3 linked regions of the Coturnix japonica genome follow. The protein of the gene in region 2 binds, or shares a complex with, the protein of the main gene of each other region. Links are inferred from orthologs where the notes say so. Each region holds a gene or a part of one and is shown on either strand. Other genes may lie near its edges.

The links. The genes of interacting proteins can lie anywhere in the genome.
Region 1: NUP58 (region 2) and NUP93 share a complex: the UniProt entries of both Homo sapiens proteins name them as parts of the p62 complex. The link is inferred for Coturnix japonica from reciprocal best matches to the Homo sapiens genes NUP58 and NUP93.
Region 3: the proteins of NUP58 (region 2) and NUP54 are in contact, whole or in part, in a crystal structure (PDB 4JO7), measured with the Homo sapiens proteins. The link is inferred for Coturnix japonica from reciprocal best matches to the Homo sapiens genes NUP58 and NUP54. Residues at the interface, in NP_054808.1 of Homo sapiens: Pro342, Tyr345, Phe346, Leu349, Val350, Phe353, Gln356, Leu357, Tyr360, Gln363, Ile364, Leu367, Leu371, Gln374, Ser378, Ile392, Tyr393, Phe396, Leu399, Ala400, Leu403, Ile406, His407, Val410, Lys414, Tyr417, Tyr420, Arg421; in NP_059122.2 of Homo sapiens: Tyr453, Leu459, Glu462, His466, Leu467, Gln469, Gln470, Gln471, Gly473, Leu474, His476, Leu477, Ile478, Ile480, Ile481, Asp484, Leu485, Ile488, Lys489, Leu490, Val491.

The regions. Positions count from the first base shown.
Region 1 is NC_029526.1:559,016-563,099, reverse strand, and holds the start of NUP93 (nuclear pore complex protein Nup93), read right to left. Parts: upstream 2,861-4,084; 5' UTR 2,750-2,860; intron 2,470-2,749; exon of another isoform or gene 1,560-2,469; intron 1,549-1,559; exon of another isoform or gene 1,464-1,548; intron 935-1,463; exon of another isoform or gene 668-934; intron 1-667. UniProt on the Homo sapiens protein: Plays a role in the nuclear pore complex (NPC) assembly and/or maintenance. May anchor nucleoporins, but not NUP153 and TPR, to the NPC. During renal development, regulates podocyte migration and proliferation through SMAD4 signaling.
Region 2 is NC_029516.1:158,385,976-158,389,535, forward strand, and holds part of NUP58 (nucleoporin p58/p45), read right to left. Parts: intron 3,354-3,560; coding exon 3,179-3,353; intron 1,921-3,178; coding exon 1,841-1,920; intron 1,538-1,840; coding exon 1,419-1,537; intron 393-1,418; coding exon 310-392; intron 1-309. UniProt on the Homo sapiens protein: Component of the nuclear pore complex, a complex required for the trafficking across the nuclear membrane.
Region 3 is NC_029519.1:44,543,195-44,547,350, reverse strand, and holds the start of NUP54 (nucleoporin p54), read right to left. Parts: upstream 2,861-4,156; 5' UTR 2,142-2,860; coding exon 2,090-2,141; intron 1,748-2,089; coding exon 1,586-1,747; intron 1-1,585. Other genes in the region: SCARB2 (lysosome membrane protein 2), read right to left, coding at 3,622-3,660. UniProt on the Homo sapiens protein: Component of the nuclear pore complex, a complex required for the trafficking across the nuclear membrane.

The DNA.
Region 1 (4,084 bases), on a different chromosome or scaffold from region 2:
GAGCTCCACAGCCTCCATCCAGGCACAGAGAATTCCACATCCATCCCTCATCCACCTCTGGAAAACCAGGAGCTGCTAGGGGACGTAGCAACCCCATGTGCACTGACCTATTGTTCAGGAGAGACAGCAGGGTCTGGATTTGTTTGAACAGACTAGCATGCCACTGAGATGGCTGGGAGGAGAGAGGGGCGTGGTGGAAAGCAGCAGTTCCATGCTCTGCAATGCAGTACAGAGCATCTTTCCAGTGTTTACTTGTGATACCTCAGTGTGCCCCAGCAGAAGCTGCCTGCACTGGCAGAGGCTGACCACAACAGCCACGCTCCTGTACCGTTAGAAAGCAGGAAGCAGTGAGTGCAGGAGCAGCACAGACTTCAGCTTGATTTGATTCAAATCAGTCTGCTTCCTCTTCTCATTAAGAACAAGATGAAAAGCCAAGAGTGTGAGAAGGCACTGACTTCTCAGAGCTCTAAAACCAAAAGCACAGAGAGTCAGGGGACTACAAATAGCTCCACAGACTGCAATTGTCAAGCACGGATCCCAAGTCAATTCCATATACAGGCTGTCCCACAAATCTGCCAAGGTAGGACAACCGTAATGACTCTGGAAAACAGAGACTGAATTCAGCAAATATAGAATAAACTTGTTAATTTGAAGCAACTCCAACTACCTTTGATTATAACCAAACACTGGGAATGAGAGCTCAAACCTTTCTCTAGAGCTCAAACAGCAGCGTGTTCCAAGGGACAGACTTCAAACATCCAGACCGGGTAACAGCATGAACTACTTAGTCTCCATGCTGTCAGAATTTACTGCATTCAGGAGGCTGCAGTCTGACTCCAAATGCCGCTGTGCAAGATGGAAAACTGCTGCCACAGGGACGAGCAAATGACAGCAGACTGTTGTGTCTGGCTGCAGAATGTGCAACAACTTACACCTAAGGGAGAGAAAATACACCAGAAATTAAACTAACTTCGGTGAAACTGGATCGACCCAGGGCTAGAAGCCAGGGCTGAAAAAGCCCTTCTGTAAAACGACTTTGATGACTTATCAATAGAAGCTGCTGCATTAGTCTGCTATTGCTTGTCCAATAAAAGCCCCATTTAATGTTTTCCCAACATTTAAAACCGCATGTAGATGTTACAAACTCTACAAGCTGGCTGGATTTCAGCCAAAATGAAATCAGAAATGATGACAGGTTTCTAATTCTGTTCAGACTGACCATAAATGCCGGCTGGTCGTGGAAAGCCAGGCCCTGCAGTGCTAGCAGATGAAGAGTGCTGTCCTACTCCAAATACGGCCATGCTGAACATTTCACCATATGAGCTTCATAAAGACTTCAAGCTGAAGAGCTCCCATGTGTAAGCAAGTGTCTGCTGTACTTCATACACTGACAGTCTTTGTGCCACCTAATTATAATTAATTTATTTAAAGAGACTGACTAAAAATTCAGAGGGAAGCCTCACCCACTGCAATCAGAAGAGCTGATAAAGAGTACAATCCAACCAGGGGCAAAAAGATTCTTCCCAAGACAAAACAAAGAGGAAGAAATCCAGCGTTACCCTCTCAGAGTGCTCCAGAGACCCATGTGACAAGTCAGCATCCGCTCCCTTTGGAAGGAAGAGAGTAAGTGACTGAGTATGAAAGCAAAGAGCAGGCGGCAAAATACATACATGTATATCTTGAATGAATGAAAAATGCCACTTCCGTGATATTAGACACTGATATTAAGCTCCTTTCTAAGAATGCAGGAACTGTCAATGAGCTTGTTAAACAGAGCACACGTAGGGCAGGAATGGTACAGACAACTGAGCCCCACCAGCAGCACACACAGGTCACCTGCTCCCGCTCCCAAGGTCTGTCCCTGACTCATTTTCAACTTCTATAAGGGAAAAGGACCGATTGCAAACCACACATCTATTACATGTTGTCCACAAATTGCCCTCTGCTACACGACTTTTAATCAAACCTAGCAAAGGGAGCCACACCACCTCCTGGTTTAAGCTAAAAGCACAAGCCACACTAAAACCAAACACGTAAGGGCTCCAAGCTGCATGTGGTGCTCCAGCTGGTACAGTGCCCTGGATGTAGGAAAGTCCTGAACAGAGCACACAGCAACGAACTCCTCAACTCAGTGTTCATTCCACCACCCACAAATTAAATCAGCTGCCATCCCTATATTTCCCAGTCCTGTATGCTTTGTTCTTCAGCTGCAGGCAGGTGTGTAAGTTACCAACCCTTTGATCGCGGCTCCCAAGCTCTGGTCTCATAGAGCTTTTACAGCACAAACTGAATAAAACCAGCTGTTTCTGAGGTCTTACTGCACTGCCGTGCCGCCTGCCCTGCTCACTCCCCTCACGCTCCTTATGTTGTAGCTCGGATCCTCTCCCCACAATCTTTCCTTTGCTATCAGCACCGCAGGAACAAGCAGGAACCACACGAGCTGATGTAGCCATTCCCAGTCAGTCCATCCTTTCGGTCCCCTCATGTCGGCCCCACCCGCCATCACCCCGTGCATCTCCCCCCGCCTCCAGCCCTCACACAGCCCGGCCCGGACCCCCGGCAGCGGCCCGCACAGCTGGCAGACATTGCCTCGGCCCGAGGGCACCCGCTCACAGGAGGCCCCGCGCCTCAGCGCCCGCCCAGGGCAGGGAGCGCCGAGCTCAGGAGCCGGGGAGCAGAACGATGTGAGGACGGAGGACGGAGGCCGCCCGCACCGCGATCCCCGCCGCGCCCACCGCCCCTCACTCACCTGCCCGCCGCTCCGGCCGCCGCGCCTGCACGCCCGCGCCGCGCGCCACCATTGGCCACGCTCTCCCCCTTCCCCGCCAGCCCATTGGTCGAGCCGGCGCGCTTCCTGACGCTACGCATTTCCATTGGTTGTCGAGCTGAGTCCCGCCCCTCCAGCTCGTCTCGCGACAAGAAGTGATTGAGGCGCTGGGAGGCGGCGCGGGCTGTGCGTGGTTATGGGGGCGGTGAGCCGGGAGACGCGGGTTCGAGGCTGCCCGCCGCCTCTTCCAATGAGGAACGGCCCGACGGCCGCGCGGGGCCGGGGGTCAGAGATGAAAACACTATAAACGAAAAGCGGAACGCCTGCAGACTGCCATCAGTACGGCTGTTCGCTGCCCTGAACCCCCACAGCCATCTGTTCCCCATTCCCCACTTGTGTCCATTGTGCCATGTAGGATGTGAGGCTCACTCACTCACATAAAGAAAAACTTGATTTCAATTAAAAAACCCACCCTGCAGGGACCCCGGGCCGCACACCCCCCTCAGCCCAGCTCCCCTCAGCAGACATTGCCCTCACACCTTCCCACAGCGCTCATGTTTGAAGGCACGGCCCCCAGAGCTCGTCCTGGGGGCTGCTCCAACCCGGGGCACGGCTGGGAAGGAGCCCAGGCCCTGATTTACAAGGCAAATACACACTGAGCGGGGCAGCCCCTTTCCCATCTCCAGCACCACCCCAGCGAGGGGCCCGGGGACTCAGGGCCACCCACCCCACACGGCTCCCAGCCCCATTGGAGGGCACGAGCTGTCCCCACCCGCAGAGCATGGGACGAGGCAGCATGGCCAGGAGCAGAGCACACAGCACACAGACATGTGTGGGCAGGCTGTGCCCTGCAGCACAGGTAGGGCCAACTTTCGCTTGGCAGGTGTATTCGGAAGGAAAAGAGCAGCCAGGCGCCTTCCCACGCCCCCACCCCCCTCCTTGTCTGCCCCCCCAGGGCAGGAGCCGGCCGGGCTGTGCTCACACCTGCCCCATGTGGCACCCTGAGCCCCCCACTCACCAGGGGCTGTGAAACAGAGCACCCCAACTGCACGACACCACTCTGTCCCCTCAAACCACAGCCCACAGGGGGTTGGCGCAGCCCCCAGCACCAGTGCTCCCACACACGTGTCACAAGCAGCATCAGGGCTCAGCCAAACTCATTTATTTCCTCCATCAGCACAGAAGGTACAAAACATGTAAAAATAAGCTTTGTTTTGTGTTTGTGGCCCCCATCACCCCCCACCCTGTCCCCAAAGCATGGCAGCTATTTACAGGCGAGGCGGGCTGCTCAGTGGCAGCAGCTGCACTTGCTGCTGG
Region 2 (3,560 bases):
TGAAAAAACAAAGCCAGAGCACATTTCTTCCCACCAACATCCTTCATGTAACTGATTAACAATGAAAAAGAAATTAGATGAAAAACGTTATAACTTTAGTGACAGCTCAGTTGCCACCATCACTATTAGCAAATGTTTCAAATTCAACTTCAGCTGAATGGAAGTTACCCTTTTAATCCAAGCATATCAGACAATTGTCATTTCTTAAAAGAATTTAACAGAAAAAAGCATAGTTGAAGACACAGTATCAGTAACTGTGACTCCCCAGTTTTTTCACTAAACACATAGAAATGCATCAAAGCAACATACCTTTACGTTTTCATGTATGGACTGAAGTTGTGCTGCTAAAGCTACAAACGTTTGATAGATTTGCTGCATAGCCATAGACAAATCTGTAAAAGGCACATAGAATATTGTAAGTGACAACCTTACTTCCATGAGGAAAGGCTTAATGTTTATACTGTAGCAAGAAGCCCACTCTGAATCCAGGTAGAATAAAGCACAAAAAGACTGTATGAAATAAATTAATGTCTATGGGAAACCCAGAACTTGTGATGTAACACCTGTCTTCCCACACACAGAACTAGTTTTTGAAGCATCATTTCTCAGGGCTCCAAACTTAATTTTGTGGGGAAAAAAAACCCTAAATAAAAACACCCCACCAGAAACAAAACCAAGACTTTATCACTTCCCACACTCATGTAGGGCAATTATGATGCATGGAGACCTCACATTACAACAGCAGGTAGGTACACAAGTCTCACTAATGGGGATGGAAGAAGGGAGGAAAGTAAAACTAAATGGAAATGAAATCAGGTTTTCCCACTGTAACATTAAGAACACTGCACAATGACAAATCAGTGGTCTGGAAGCAGAACAAACAAAAAAAAACCTAACCCTAAACCAAACAACCAGGCAATCTGGAGGCAAGTTAAGAAAAGACTGAAGGGCGATTCCTCTGATGCTTATGAGATCATTAGGAACGTAAACAAGGAAAACTTCCATTCCCAGATCCCATCCAAGAGCCTCAGATAGATGTAGGAAAGACTCAGAAACCACTCTCATGAAAGAGCAGAAGACAGACTGTCCTATGCTTACAGAGTGTACGAATATAACACACTTCTTTACACCTCATTTTCAGATGCACAGAAGCTGGAATTTATATTCCCAGGCACCTTCCAAAGTTCCCAAATGACACAAACCCAGCCCACAAACTGCACCTCAGGAAGCAAATTCATTTTACAAAGCTTAAAGGACTTTACAAATTCAAGGACACATTCCAAACCACAGAATTTATCTGAACATTTGTTTCTGTACATTAGATGAGGAGATTAATTACTGTTAGTTTTTTATTATTAAGCCTATTATAGGTATAATATTAGTTTCTGTGTATGAAACATGTAAGTAGAAACATTTACCTTGTGGAGTTATATGTGAATTATTTGCTTGAGTAGCAAGATGATTTTCCAGTTCTTCTATTTGTTGCCTATACTGCTGCAGTTGTACTTCAAACTGCTCTACCAAGATTCTGAAGTAGCTAGGTGAGTAAAACAGTAAAGTTTAATCACATGATTTTAGTGATTTGCCACCATTTGAAAACAAAGACCACACCACCGCATTAGCTGCCTATACTCATTTCATTACTTGCAGCAGGTATGTCCTAATGACATTCTTGATGTTCTTCTACTAGTAGAAAAAGAGCAAGGACTGTATTTCTCACGTCTATATAAGTAGACATGTATAAGCATTCAGTACAGGAATAACAAGAAGAAAAAAACACATCAACTTAGGAAGTTATATTATTGGCTTTTTTTCTTTCTTATAAGCAACAATAACTCACTCTGCTGGGGCTGTGTTTTCATGCTGCAGGCCAGGAGGAGTTTTCTGTGTTCTTAATGCTATTTCTGCATTCTTTAGCTCCTAAATAAATGAGGAAAAATCGATAAAATGTAAGATTCTGAATTAAGTGTTCAAAATGAGCATAACTACAATTTTACAGTTAATTCACAAATATGAGAAGAAAACATTTAAGTTAAAACTACAACAGAATCTGACCAGAAATTCTTCAAAGAATAGATTGGCATGAAGTTGAAGAACTGCTGATATCAAAATATGTTTAGACAAGAAGCAGGCAGCTGTACACCCTCAAAGTTTACTCATCATCTAGTCTTTTAATATCATCTAGTCCAGCCCTCCTGCTATGGGCAGACTGTCACAGGTAAGGTTTGCATTCTGTTGTACTTCAGACAGCCTATTAATTTATTAAAGACTAAGAAAAATAATGACAAGAAAATAACATGCCTAAAAGAAATTACAAGAAGGGTTATCTCGCCTTTAAAAAAGGCTTAATAGTGTGATAATTTTCTTTTCCTATGGAAAAGATCTTTTTAAACATGATGATTACACTAGATGTTGTTTAACGCTTTCTAATAATACTATCATTAATCATTTCTCAGTGCCTGGCTTTGTTACTAATCATAAGGAAATAAGAGCACTACTAACAAGTTGTTTGCTTTCACAGCAAATAATTGCCAGAGCACAACTACAGAGTATCTCTTTTCAAAATTTAGGAGCATATTTTCACTTTAGAATAAAATACATTTAGAAACAAAGCAAGCAGCCAGGACAAGACAGATGAAAGCAATAGCAACACAGAGCTTAAGTTCAAAAGCACCTGAACCAAAACTTGAGCTCACACTGGTTGGATAGTTAATACAAAGACTGGTAGACAGAGTTGACTTCTTCATTAAATAAATACTAGATGTAATTAGACACTTTGGTCCCTAATACCTTTTAAGTGATAAGAAAACATGTGTCTCCACTGCTCCCCGAGTTGGGCACGTGACTGCAAAAAAACCTTCACTAACTATCAGTTGAATAGGGAACTGAAATCAAACTACAGTGGGTGCATATTCCCTTCTGCTGTCTACGCAAGTAGGGTGCTTTCCTAAGTAACGCTCTCCTTGCTTTTACACTTATCTGAAAACACTGGCATCGCAGATTTCAGTCAGTCACCTCCAGTAATTCCAAAAAGATCAGAAGGGATTCAACTTTTCACTTTGTTTACAACTGCTTCAATTTGGAGTTTCAACAACTTCCCTTGACTGATTGAGAAAGCTGTAGATTCTACAATAAACAATGAACACTCAAACTCTGCTTAACAGAAAGTGTGCGATACCTGCGCAGTTTCCATTTTCAGCTTGTCAATATTAAGAGTGTTTCTTTGTAATCCACTGGCAACTACAGAGAGAAGCTGTTTCAGAGCTTTAATATCTTCTTGTACTTTAAGCATTGCTTTAGATGACATTCTACTAATTTCTTCCTGAACTTGTTTTTGTTCTTTCACAAATTTCCTAAAGAAGGGAAAAAAAGACAAACAGGGGTAATAGGAAAGAAAATAATGTATTCAACCTAAAGTACCCACGTATTTACTTTAGTTGCATTATTCAAGTAGTACTGAAGTTAATTTTCCCAAAACCAACTACTGAATAGTAAGATTATGCAGAGTAGCATTAACTCCTAATATGCTAATGCTGTAAAAGAACAGCAAAAAAACAAGA
Region 3 (4,156 bases), on a different chromosome or scaffold from region 2:
AACACACTAAACTTAGCAGCTGCCCACAGGTTTCCAGGAAAACCAGCTGCTGGCTAGCAGGGGGAAACCCAAGCACAGGCCCAAGCTCCACCACAGCTCCCAAAAATCTTTGCATTTGTCCTTCGGACCACACCATCTCTTTGCTAATGCACCATCTGACCCAATGTGCAGCATATGGACACCTGAATAGCCCCGTGTTTCAAATCCTCCATGTTTCTGACCGATTTTACACACATTTAAATGAAGATGGACAGTCTAGTATATACAATGTATCAAAACAAAGCAATGCTGCCAGTTCTCATTCACGTGTCAACAGCAAAAAAGAAGCCTGTTCAGACCTACTGCACTTACCGTCTTGTATATACATACAAAATAAAGAGCTCAAATCAAAGCTGATGTGCAGCCACATTTTATTTTAATTCAGCAAACGACACAACTAAATGTAAGAGCTGCTCCCTGAAACTTCCAGGTTTCAGTCCTATCAGCACATAAGCAACCCTAGCAGCAACAGCAGACGACACAATTTTTAGACAGATTTGTGTTCACAGCAATTTAACACCCTTTCTTAGAGAAGGCTCTAAAAGTGCAAACTACTGAACAAAATAATATATCCAAGTTCTCTTGGATTAGTTACAATTCAGCTCAAGAAATACAGTCCAGTAGCACTCATACCCAGTTAAAAACCAAACCAGATCCCTTGAGCTCACAAAACAGGTAGGAGTATTCTAACACAGGGAGTGATGATGCCGTGGAATGAATATAACTCCTATACGAGCAGCGGCAACAAGAACCAAGGGAGAATTCCATTCAGGAAAAAGTGTGAGAAATCCATATAGTTGAGCAATTTTGTTTTAACAAAATGGGACAGACTTAGCTGGAAATTTATCAGCTGGTTACTCAGAACTGATGAGCCTACATGGGGCTACAAAGGGTTTTCTCAACAAGCAGTCAGCACACACCATGCTGGACAAAACCCCCCCAGGGAATTACTTTGCTGGGACATGCTCCACGTCAAGAGGCAGAACAGTTTTAGGAATGGAGGTAAAAGTGAGAGCTGTTCATTTTATTGCTGATCGTATAAAATTTGTTTCTCCACGGAAACAACTGAAGTGCAGCACATTCATGGCAACCAACAGAAGGCCGATGAGGAGACATGGGGAGGATGAAAACCATGACTGCAGCAGTCCAAGAATGTCACGTGAGGAAATGAGGCATTAGGGACCAGCTCTGCAACAGTTCTGATGGCCCAGACCTAAAGGCAGAACCAATGTTTCAGTTCTGCTGTGTGATTGAGACTCGATTTTGGATGGGATAAGGCTAGCAGGTTACTGTGATTCATCTCCAGTTCAGTGTCTAATCAGCCATGTGGTCATTTTTCCTTATCAGCTACTTCTGGAGAATTTAGTAGGCAAAAATAAAAACCCTTATAATTGCACGGCTCTATAACTCATTCCACTACAGAGCTTTTGCCTCCAGTCTTCACTGTATATAAAGGAAGTTCAGCACAGATTCTGAGTCAGGAACGCAATTCTTGGACCTCTGCTATTCACATTTATTACAGAACAAGTATATGTGTAATATCTACCTGCACTTGCCAGACTGTTACCAAAATTGAATGGCGGAGTTGAGGTAGTAGAAACACCGAAATTCCCAATATTAAAATTCACTGCGGGATTAGCAGCTAATCCGAAACCCCCAAAATTAAACCCACCGGCGGTGGAGTTTGTGGTTTCAAGCCCACCAAATCCTGACAAGCATGAAGCAGAAAGAGAGCAAGGCGGCGTTAGTTCTGCAGAAAGGTAGGTTCGGAAGTAACAGCTGACATACCGTTTTGGCACTAAAGACGAGGCAGGCATAGTTAATAACGAGAGTAAGGCATTAACTGGCACCAAGCACGAAACGCTTAGCAGCTAAAAGCAAGGTTTAACCCCGTTCTCCCCACGTTGCTATTGGGATGGCGTTCCTGAGCCGTATGGCACAGTAAGCCCAGTGTCGCCCTGCAGCCCGCCGGCGGGGCTGGCTCCAGCCGCACTCACAGCCGGCCCTTCACGGCTCTCCCTCCATCCCCACGCGGAGGCCCCGCACTCACCGCTAGGGTTGGAGGCCCCGGCGCCCGCCGCCGCCCCGAAGTTGAAGGCCATGAGGGGCCGCAGCGGCGGGAGGCGTGCCCGCAGCCCGCACCGCCAGGAAACAACGGGTGGTGCTTCCGGCCCCGTCACTACGGCGCTTCCAGACGGGGCGGGCCGCCATGCTCCGCCTGCGCCATAACGCGCCGCCAGGCGGTCCAGCACAGATACTGCGGGACGGGGGGCGGGCGGAGGGTGACGGAGAGACCGGCCTGCTGTAATGACCGCCCTGCTGTAGGCCTTTCGCCATCGGAAGCGCTAACGTTCTCTTAGAACTTTCTCGCCTGTTTACCGAGAGAAGCTCAGACAGGGCTTGGTAATGTGGAGCCTAAGTAACGGTGAGCATCGTTAGCCAGCCCAGTTAGAATAAAACTTGAACGAGGCACCCACAAGGCAAAAAAAACCCAACGAAGCAAACCAATGGAGAAAAACAAACAGGATAAACCCCGCTATACCTCTGTGTGGAAGAAAATGATACATTTTAAAACGTGTGTCACTGTCTACATCTAATGGAAACGCGTCTCAATTAGAATGCTCCATCAGTGGGAAAAGTCCCACTGCTGGGACTGGTTTTCATAAAGCAGCTTCCACTTGGCGAGGAAAAAATGCTGAGAGCTTTTCCAGGCCTTGCACGTACCTCAGGCTGGAGGTGTGTTTTGATCCCAAACAACAAATGTCACCAACAAACCCGTGTGTACAAAACGCACACTGCTGGTAGCTGAGATACCACCAGTGAGCAAAAGCACACCTCTGCTGTGCCTTACAGCAACACCATGCAAGTTTGGTTTGCTTTCTCTTTTTCAGTTGAAGGGAAAAGAACCCCATGAACTTTAAGGATATCCCCTACAAGCAATGGGATCCCATGCAGGGTTAGAACAGCTACAAGGTCTGAATGGAAGAGCACTCCCAGGGGTTGGCTTCTTTCTACCTGCTAGCACCAGGTGTTTAAGGAATTCCACGCAGCGGTTTGGATCAGTTGTACAGATCCGTTCTGTACTTTAATACCAAACAGTCAGTGCAAACCGGCAGGAAGCAGCGCGCAGGACTTTACAGAAAAGACAACAGTGAGGCTACAGGAAACCGACAGGTGTGTGAGTGACACAGGAACCTGCTGCATCTCTACAAGGGTTCTTTGCAGCCCACGCTCCTAAGGCCATTTGTAAATGTTACCCGTCGTTTCTGTAACGAATCAGGCCGTTTTATTTTCACCGAGGAAGTGGTTATGATGGTCTCTGAGTGTCAGTGCAGGTACGAGAGAGTGCGGGGCTGAAAAAAGCAGGATCTCGAGCAGTTTTAAAATGTAGTTCAGTAGTTGTAACTTAGCTGCTAAGAAAAGTCTCCTCCCCTGACGACAGTGCAGATTCTCTTCCATCTTTGAACGTTACACTTGACACGACTGTTTCTCCACAGTGGACAACACTGGGTAGTGGTAGCTGGTATTAGGTAAGCTCTAATGATTTATTCTCCAAGCTCACGTATTTAAGAAGATCTACTACTATGTCCTGATGAGCGGGGACCTTTCTTCTTCAGTGCTCTGAAAGAAAAAAGTTGCAACACAGGAAGATTGAATGTGGCACATTAGAGAGCTTCCGTGCAGGGAAGCTAAATTTCCTAAACTCCAGAGAGGAAAGGAAAAAGCTCTTGGCTCCTACTTCTAAGTGCAGATTTACTTAAGGGAACCCTCACTGTGCAAGGGAGGTGCTGGAGGGTGGATGGCAGCTTTGGCAGGTAGCAGCACTGGGATGATGCAGAGATGTTCCAGATTTCCCTGTGCATGTGCAGAGGCAGAAGTGAGGCAGGGGGGAGTGGAGGAAAAGGGCCAGGACGCACCCCATACAGGGGGCTGCCTGCTCCAGGTGACACGGGCATTCAGCATACTGATATATACATACTTGACAGCTGAGATTGCTCAGGCTCCCTGTAGTACTTTCCATGTGACCACAGTCACCCTGCATCACAAAGATAGCTCTGATTGGCAGAATCACTTTTATGTTTGCAGGAAAAGCAACAAAAATAATACAGAGAAAATA